2 linked regions of the Schizosaccharomyces pombe genome follow. The protein of the gene in region 1 interacts with the protein of each later gene in a biochemical or structural test. Each region holds a gene or a part of one and is shown on either strand. Other genes may lie near its edges. The genes, in order: mob2 and orb6.

Region 1 (4,641 bases):
TAATTTTCAACTACACACGACCTTTTTACAATTGTTGTCATAGCATGAAATCCTTTTTATTTATTACAAAACATAAACAGGGATTTTTTAGTGAGCCAAACGAGAGCTTTGGATGACAGAGGTAAGCTCTTCAATCTTTCCCTTGGCACGCTTAAGGGTACCGAGCTAAAAAGTTGTTAGAATAAGAATAAATTCAATAACAAAACATAATATCCCATTACAGTATTCATAGCTCCGAGTCTCAAAATACCACAAGTGAATTTGAGTATACTAAGCTTTGAAGCTCTCTACGAGCATGTACAGTAACAGAACAAAATTTTACATACCCTCTTCTTGGCCAATTTGCGGGCACGCTTGTCTTGGGAGTTACGGATCAATTCCATGACACGACGCTCATAGGGAGCGAATCCAGCAACCTCACGAACGATAGAACGGACAAAAGAAGTACGCTTGGACAATTGTCCCTTACGGCGAGAAGGACGCTCAGGAAGTTGACGCTTGGTCAAAACCTTTCCTTTGTTTAAACCAACAACCAGACCAGGTGCCATTGTGAGATTGGTGTAGGGGAAAACTTACTGCGCTATAGTACAGACTATCACTGCCCTTAACGAAAATAACGGTCACAAAACTCAACCCTAACCTACATCCCTTTAACCAAAAAAATCGCACGAAATAACGATTCCTACCTCTGTATGGCTTATCAATTTTTAGCGTAAGTAAAGGAGGCAATACTACAGGTTCTCATTGTATTGTAAACAATGGAAATTGCTTCCATCTGCGGGTTTCAAAGGGTAAAGTCGAGAACGGTTATTACATAGTACTGAAACACTACATAATAAAACGTATTATGCCATAAATTATAACGAACGGTTCGTTTTTTTTGAAATTAGAGTTGCCCCTACGAGTAAATGTATGTCATTCAGTCTCCCAGCAATGCCATGCCCTCGTACGCAGCAGACGAAAGGCTACAGACAAGAACATGGGTAATCCCTTGCACTCAAATTGATTAGTAATGTATTTTATAAGCAGCAATGAAACAGCAGTCATACAAATCCTTGAGCATCCCGAAATATCACAGTATCCACGCTCCTTCAATTCCCGCATTTTCTACCGTATTTAGAAATGACTGATAACGCATTCCACCGCATCTCGTAATATCTTTTCTTTAGAAGAGGTATTGTCTTTCTTTCATCGTTTTGCTGTCTATGATCTCAAGAATGGCGATTTTCAGAGATAGACGTTATGGGTGCTAATTGTGCCATGATCGTACTCATCTTGTAAATCCCTGACGGTGAGAAAACGAGTTCTCCGTTTCAGCAACATCGGTGGTGTATGAGATAATGGATAACCAGTCCCAACCAAATATTTACAGAACCCTCAGACGAATTCGCTGGAAAGTAACATTCCCATCATCAGAAGGAAGACTCCTCTTGTTATGAAAATTTCACTAGCAAGTGACATCGATAGCTCCTAGCGTTCCTTATTTCACATCCGAGAGATCCTTACTATATTAGTCGGGAACCCTTTACTGCTTGACATTTACCGCTCTTGAAACTCGTTACTAAACCGGATATACGGAAGCTTAACACGTTCGATATTAAACAATATCGTTTTTGAAGGGATCAACTTTATTATTGGCTTACATAACGTTATCTAGAGTGGAGTAACTCGTTATAGGGGTCAGCCAACACAAAGCGTGGGCCTTTGTATAACCTGTCCTTTGCCATGTTTCTGTTAAATTCATTAAGTAGGATTACTCGAGGGAATCGATCCAAAAGGCATCAAAACCTTTCAGATGCAAGTAGCTCTTCTGGTTCTTTCTCCAAGAAAAGTTCTACATCGCAATTGGTGCGTACGGGGTCGCCGAGTGTAGAGCCTACAGCTTTGTATTTGCAGCAGCCATTTGTTCGGACTCATTTGGTAAAGGGTAATTTTTCCACGATCGTTTCTTTGCCAAGGTTCGTGGACCTAGATGAATGGGTTGCTTTAAATGGTATGTTGCTTTGTTTTTTGCAGTTTCGCGTCAGCAGAAGAATGATGGAGGTATTGGTTACTGGACAAGTGTTTTTAAATTTGACCAAAGCACTGTCTTTATCATCATTTTCCTTTGAGGGAAGATTCTTGACGGATTACTTTGCTAGGTTTCTTTGAATTGCATGACATGAATAGGAGGAAATTGAAGTGAACGTTCGATGGTACTAGGAAATTATACTTTGAGATAATTAGAAACCCAGGAATCTAGCTTCAAATTTTAAAAACCATAAATTTCAATCTTTTTATTATTATTATTATTTTTGTTTTTTCATCGTTCAACAAAAATTTCTTCTTTTTTTCCGGATACGTAATCCGTTCTGTCAACAACTTGTCTTGTGCTAACCGTTACAACTCTTTGCTTTTCTTCACGTTTTTTTTTGTTTCTTTATATATTTTCTAACTCTTTTCATTTTAGTCTACGAGTTGTTTACTTACCTCAATCATTTTTACGACGTGTTTGCTACATTTTGCACTGTAAAGACTTGTCCTGTTATGAGTGCTGCAGCCAAGTATGTGATTCTCTAGTTAATTATTTTCTCACCTCTACCTTTACTAACTTACTCTTTTATTATAGTTTCGACTATACTTGGTTGGATAACAACCGTAAACCCGTCCATTTACCCGCTCCCCAATATATTGAATACGTACTCGCTTGGATTGAAAATAGATTGCATGATCAAAACGTCTTTCCTACAAAGGCAGGCTTGCCATTTCCTTCAAATTTTCTTGTTATTGTTAAAGCCATATATAAACAAATGTTTCGCATTTTTGCCCATATGTATTATGCTCATTATGCAGAAATCCTTCATCTCTCTTTAGAAGCCCACTGGAATTCATTCTTTGCTCACTTTATTGCTTTTGGTAAAGAGTTTCAACTGTTGGATAAACGTGACACTGCTCCGTTAAAAGATCTTATTGTTGTCTTAGAAAATCAAGGAAATATTTAATATTCTTGCCGAAGGCAGGACACACTTCTGTTTTCTACCATTTATCTCTTTTGTTTTCGTCCTTTCCTTTACCCCCTCTTCCCACAAATACCCTCTTCCCTCGAATCCTCTCTCTGCTACACAGGCAGTAAGTTATATGCTAAATTCCTACACTTCCTTTTGTTCGTTTTTCGTTACCACCTTCATTAGCTAATTACTATTTGTATTTCTTGATGCCATTTTCTTTATTTTTACATCCTATTCCTTTTGGACTCTTGGCATATTCGCTTGCATTCACTGATTTCACGGGAATTTTTAAACAGACTTTGGCCGTATTCCTTAGAAATTATCTTCAACGTCCGTTTAGTTTCTTAACTATATCTTGCATTTTATGTGACTCATTCCACATTATTCCTTGATAATTATAAGAGATCTTATCCTTCTCAACAAAAATAATCCGCTAATGCTCTCCTTTCCTATATCTAACCATCAACTTCTTTTTTTAAAGTCCACAGCCTTGCTCCCCTTCTTAACCTTGGACTTGACCGATAAGCAAATTAAAAAAAAGTAAAACTTGTTACAACTGAAATTTGTTTTTGTTTTAATGTCCACTTTTTTTATAGCAGCAATTTACTCAAATGAACTGAAGACGTTTCCAAATTCGACACTTTTAATTTTTCCCTTCAGTCTTTTGTTGGGTTATTGGGCTTACTGATAAATAATTCAAAAAATTGTTTGTGGACGAACAGTGATTATAATTATTTCCTAAATTGAACGTTACATTCTCAAAGGATCGAGTTATGGTCTGACTCTCTTTTTATACTTTACGATAATTCAATTTTTGGGCATACTAATGGATATCCTTTAAACTGAAATAAATCTCAATGTAAATTTTGTTTATTTCTCTTTTAAGATTGCATTGGCTTGATCCTTCACTAGACTAGACTGTGTACGTATCATTGCTAACTTCAATCCAAGCAGATAAAAAAGTCTCTAGCTTATTCGTAAACATATAGTCACGTCAAATAATTAACTACTTAAAACATGTGCCGTGTAGTAAGATAAATTGCAGTAGAGTGAGTCGATTGGCAACATAAAACGAAGAACATTATTGAAACGAGGGAAGGGAAATAATCAAAATTAAAATCTAAAAGACAAATACTTGATCCTCAAGCTTCGAAATGGCTCGGGACTTTTCATATCCCAATGCAACTGTAGCTTCTCTGAGTGAATTAACCATGGGAGTAGGGCCACAAATAAGAACTTTGGTTTCAGGAGAAGGAGCAGGGAAATGCGCCTTGATAAGTTCTTGAGTAACAAATCCAACACTTCCCTTCCAGTTTTCAGGAGGATTGTTCAAAACATAATGAACGGTAAAACGAGGATCCTTCTTAGCAAGTGCGTCAATCTCATCACGAAGAACAATATCACCCTCTGATACATTAGCATATAAAAGAGTGATTTCCGTTGGATCTTCAAAATTAGAAAGAACAGCACGAATGATTTGAAGCATAGGAGTAATACCTGTTCCGCCTGCGATCATGCCAAAATGGCGCGCGAGGCCAGTGCGATGCTTCCAATTTCCCTTAGGGCCACGAACACCGATGGTATCACCAATCTTAAGTTCAGAAAACTTCTTACTCACTTTGCCATTGGGGTAAGACTTTACGAGCAAATCAAA
Region 2 (4,875 bases), on another chromosome or scaffold:
AACACTAACTGTTCTTGAGGTTGCAAAATATTTTTAGTTAACTGCAGAAGTACTCTCACTTTCCATGATTTCGTATCTTTCAGAAATCTTAGTTATGCTTAATGTAAAGTAACAATGCTTGATTTTGTTACTTGAAGGGTGTTAAATAAATCACGAACTTGCATTATTCATACATTAGAAAAAACAACCAAAATACTACAAAAAGTAGTCTTTTTGAGCTAGCCATTCTAAGAATAAGAATTCGCTTGATTTAAATCTCCCAATTGCCTCTACTCAAAGTTGTATAAGTATTGTTTAGCATGTCTCTTGAAGAGAATGTAAAGGAAGCGAAAAACGCTTTTAACATTTTACAGACATTATCAGTGGAAGACCGTGATGATGCATTGGATAAAATAGTTGAAGAACTGCGCATAAAAAAGTCAGAGGTTCTAGCTGCAAATGCTGAAGATATGAAAGCAGCTAAGCTCTTGGCTGAATCAGGAAAACTAAGTTCATCGATGGTTAAAAGATTGGATCTGTCTTCATCTGATAAATACGATTCCATGGTACAGGGTGTTTTAGATGTTAAAAGTTTGCCTGATCCCCTTGGTCGTGTTACTTATGCTCGTAGTCTTGACGATGGTTTGGACCTTTATAAAGTCTCTTGCCCTGTAGGTTTATTGCTAGTCATTTTTGAAGCTAGACCTGAAGTAATCATTAATATTACTTCCCTGGCTATCAAATCTGGTAATGCTGTTGTACTTAAAGGAGGCACGGAATCAGCAAAGTCTTTCGCTGCACTTTCTAATGTTGTTCGCTCTGCCTTGGGCAAAAGTAAGGTTCCACAGGCTGCTGTGCAGCTTGTTCAGAGTCGCGAGGAGGTATCACAATTATTAAAATTGGATGAGTACATAGATTTGGTTATTCCCCGCGGCAGCACTAATCTTGTACGCCATATAAAAGATAACACAAAAATTCCTGTTTTAGGTCATGCTGCAGGACTATGCTCCATGTACGTCCATGAGGATGCTGATATGGAATTGGCTAGTAAACTTGTTCTGGATGGAAAAACTGATTATCCAGCAGCATGTAATGCAATTGAAACTTTGTTAATTAACGAAGCTGTTTTATCTTCTCATCTTCCTAAAATTGCTGAAACTTTAACTGAAGCAAAAGTTACATTAAAATGTGATCCCGCTTCTCTTAAGGTTTTAAAGGATATGCCAAAAGTTAGTGCTCTAGTTGAACCATCTGTCGATCAAGATTACAACACTGAATTCTCTGATTTGATTCTTGCTATTAAGACTGTACCTTCCTTACAGTCCGCAATGCAGCATATAAATACACATGGTTCTAAACACACGGATTGCATTATCACTTCTAGTGAAGCAGCTGCTAACAGATTCATGGCTGGAATTGATGCTTCTGGTGTGTATTGGAATGCTTCAACCAGATTTGCCGATGGTTTTCGTTATGGTTACGGTACCGAAGTTGGCATCAGCACCAACAAAATTCATGCTCGAGGACCAATGGGTCTTGATGGGTTAACTATTTACAAGTACCAACTTAGAGGAAATGGTCAAGTTGCAAGTAGTTATGGAGTTGGACCTGGCAAACGCGCATTTAAACATACCCCTATTAATATAGACAATATTTCTCAGGTTTCGAAAAAATAAACACAAAAAAGATTTGAAAATTATGTGAAATTGTCAACGTTTTGGCTAGCTGCATTTTGGATACAAATCGGTTAGGCTTTTTTTGTTTACTTGTTTGTCTATAATATTTAAATGGGAGTTTCAATAATGTGAAGTTATTAAATGAAGAGTAAACACCAAATTAAATAGATAACTATTCCTGTAGAGTTCGATCCACCACCTTTAGTTTTTATTACACAAATATTTTTATGGTGAAGAACGAATTGATGTCTCCGTCCGTCTTTTTTGACTATTCATTTCAATTCAGATTCTAAAATCTTCGTAAGCTAAGATTCTTGGCTTCAGTTAGTAGCGTCGTAATATTGAACAGGGAGGGTTAGGAAATGCGCGGAGCTTATCGCAAGCGATCGTTGAAGTTATATAACAAACTGCAGAAGTACTTGCTTTTCCAGTATCGCAGTTTAACATATTTTTATCGGATTATACCTTAGCTGGCAGTAGTCCTATAATTAAAAAAGCATAATAGGACTTGTCATTTACCATATCCGATTTATCACTGTCTCATTTCTGTTTTGCATGTCTTGTTAATTCATGTTTTAAGCGATTGAATTTCAATCTTTTAACAATTTCTTTTTGTTAATTAATTCGTTGACCTTGTAGTTGATTCTAATTAGTGTAAAAATTCCATTTATTGCAACATTTCTTTCAATATGGATAAGAATGATTACTTACACTTTGAACGGAACCCTTCATTATTTCCGAAATCAACTTTAGACAAAGTCCAAAAGACAAAGAAATATATTGAACATTATTACAAGGTGGCAGTTGATCATGCTGTAGAGCGCAACCAAAGGTACGAGTAGCATTACTATTCAGGGTTCTAGCATTGTTTCACATTCCTCAATTAGTATTCCCATCTTATACGTTGATCGGATAAGTATCAAAGACGATGCTTTTATTAATTCTTTCTCCGTTCTCAACTTCGCGTGTTGCAGTAAATGCATAATCTCGAATGTTTATAAAATCTTAGACAGCTTACTCATCTTGTTTCGAAAATGTTAATTAATAATGCTAGCTTCCGTTTAATTTACTTTTAGGTATAAATACTAATTCTCTTTAGACGTATCAATTTGGAGCAACGATTAGCAACCGAAAGGGGTTCTGAGGAGAGAAAGAATAGGCAGTTAAGAGCATCTGGTGAAAAAGAGTCTCAATTTCTTCGATTTCGTCGTACACGGCTTTCTTTAGAAGATTTTTCTACCATCAAAGTTATTGGGAAAGGTGCATTTGGCGAGGTACGTTTGCATAATTGTTTATGTTTTTGGTATCTAATTAAATAGGTTCGGTTGGTTCAGAAACTCGATACGGGTAAAATCTATGCCATGAAATCTTTGCTTAAAACTGAAATGTTCAAACGTGACCAGCTGGCTCATGTCAAAGCAGAACGCGACTTATTAGTTGAATCTGACTCCCCATGGGTGGTGTCATTGTATTATGCTTTTCAAGATTCACTGTATCTTTACTTGATTATGGAGTTTTTACCAGGCGGTGATTTGATGACCATGCTAATAAATTATGATACTTTTTCAGAAGACGTTACTCGCTTCTACATGGCTGAGTGCGTTTTGGCTATAGCTGATGTTCATCGAATGGGTTATATTCATCGGGATATAAAACCGGATAACATACTGATTGACCGGGATGGCCATATAAAACTTTCTGATTTCGGACTTTCCACTGGTTTTTACAAGCAAGATCAGAGTGCCTCTTACATGAAACCTCGCACAGGAAATACTGTCAAACGTGGTCAAATGGTAGATGCTATCTGGCTTACAATGTCTTCCAAGGACAAAATGGCTACTTGGAAAAAGAACCGTAGGGTGATGGCCTATAGCACTGTGGGTACTCCTGATTATATCGCTCCAGAAATTTTCTTGCAACAAGGGTATGGTCAAGATTGTGATTGGTGGAGTTTAGGCGCTATCATGTTCGAGTGCTTAATTGGATGGCCTCCCTTTTGCAGTGAAAACTCTCATGAAACTTATCGAAAAATCATCAATTGGCGTGAGACTCTGACTTTCCCAAATGATATACATTTAAGCATAGAAGCTCGTGATTTGATGGACCGACTTATGACAGATTCAGAACACAGATTAGGTCGTGGCGGTGCTATTGAAATAATGCAACATCCTTTCTTTACTGGAATCGATTGGGATCATATACGAGAAACTGCAGCTCCATTTATTCCGAATTTGAAATCTATTACCGATACACATTATTTCCCTGTTGATGAGCTTGAACAAGTTCCTGAACAACCTGTCACACAACAACCTGCTTCTGTTGACCCTCAGACGTTGGAACAAACCAATCTGGCATTCCTTGGGTACACTTACAAAAAATTCAATTATTTAACGATGAAAGGAGCATTGTAAGACTTCTGCAAGAAACTCCATAGCTACTTTGTTCATTGTCCTTTGAGCATCTAACTATTGTTATCGAATTTTTTTTATCGTTAATTCATGTTTACCTTCTTTTACATTATTTTAGCATAACTAATAATATTACCAATTACTTTTTTTTAATGTTGTCCCTACTGATAAAATCTTACATGCACTTCTGTAAATATTAAATTCGTTGCATAAGAATTCCAAATTAATGCATAGATTTTATTAGGGAAAAGATAAAAAAGAGTGAGTAAAAAACATGTATTAATAAGTACAACAGGATGTTAACGCCAAGAAAACCAACCAAAATAGTAAACAATAATTATGAAATGCGGATCATGACCCATAACTAATAGACAATTTCTAATTGAACAGTGGGAACCCCAGAATTTTAACATTTTACCAGTAAACTGACTATCGTCTAAAGAAAGTTTCATATACTAGAATTGGATTAATGAATTAAATGCCTAATCTCGGCTTTTTAAATATTGTTCAATTTCATCGACAGATGGTGCATTGGCTTGTAAAAACTCACCGCTCTCTTGCTCAAACCGAGAGCGGACAAAGGCATCGTTTTCCATTTCCACAAATATGTCGGTGTCCGTAGGACGTAAAGTCCTTCGTAACATTTGGGCAACAATATCAATTGTTAAAGCACAAACCATTACAAAAAGCATAGTAAGCCACCATGAAGGATTTTTGCCAAAATGATGGAGAAACTGTGATCTAGCAAGATATAAATTCTTGTCCGGATAATGCTCGCTTATAAAGATATTAAATAAAAACCAAGCCAAGGA

The links.
Region 2: the proteins of mob2 (region 1) and orb6 form a complex in vitro, tested with the Schizosaccharomyces pombe proteins (one study listed by BioGRID).

What each region holds. Positions count from the first base shown.
Region 1 is NC_003421.2:506,328-510,968, forward strand, and holds mob2 (protein kinase activator Mob2), read left to right. Parts: upstream 1-1,715; 5' UTR 1,716-1,725; coding exon 1,726-1,993; exon of another isoform or gene 1,994-2,159; intron 2,160-2,449; coding exon 2,450-2,543; intron 2,544-2,608; coding exon 2,609-2,981; 3' UTR 2,982-4,007; downstream 4,008-4,641. Other genes in the region: rpl3601 (60S ribosomal protein L36), read right to left, coding at 88-165, 327-548; cbr1 (cytochrome b5 reductase), read right to left, coding at 4,108-4,641. UniProt on the Schizosaccharomyces pombe protein: Required for coordinating polarized cell growth during interphase with the onset of mitosis.
Region 2 is NC_003424.3:1,006,095-1,010,969, forward strand, and holds orb6 (serine/threonine protein kinase Orb6), read left to right. Parts: upstream 1-2,168; 5' UTR 2,169-2,344; coding exon 2,345-2,487; intron 2,488-2,754; coding exon 2,755-2,929; intron 2,930-2,974; coding exon 2,975-4,066; 3' UTR 4,067-4,224; downstream 4,225-4,875. Other genes in the region: gamma-glutamyl phosphate reductase Pro1, read left to right, coding at 300-1,655; dnf1 (P-type ATPase), read right to left, coding at 4,546-4,875. UniProt on the Schizosaccharomyces pombe protein: Interacts with pak1/shk1 and coordinates cell morphogenesis with the cell cycle. It is essential for maintenance of cell polarity and is involved in mitotic control.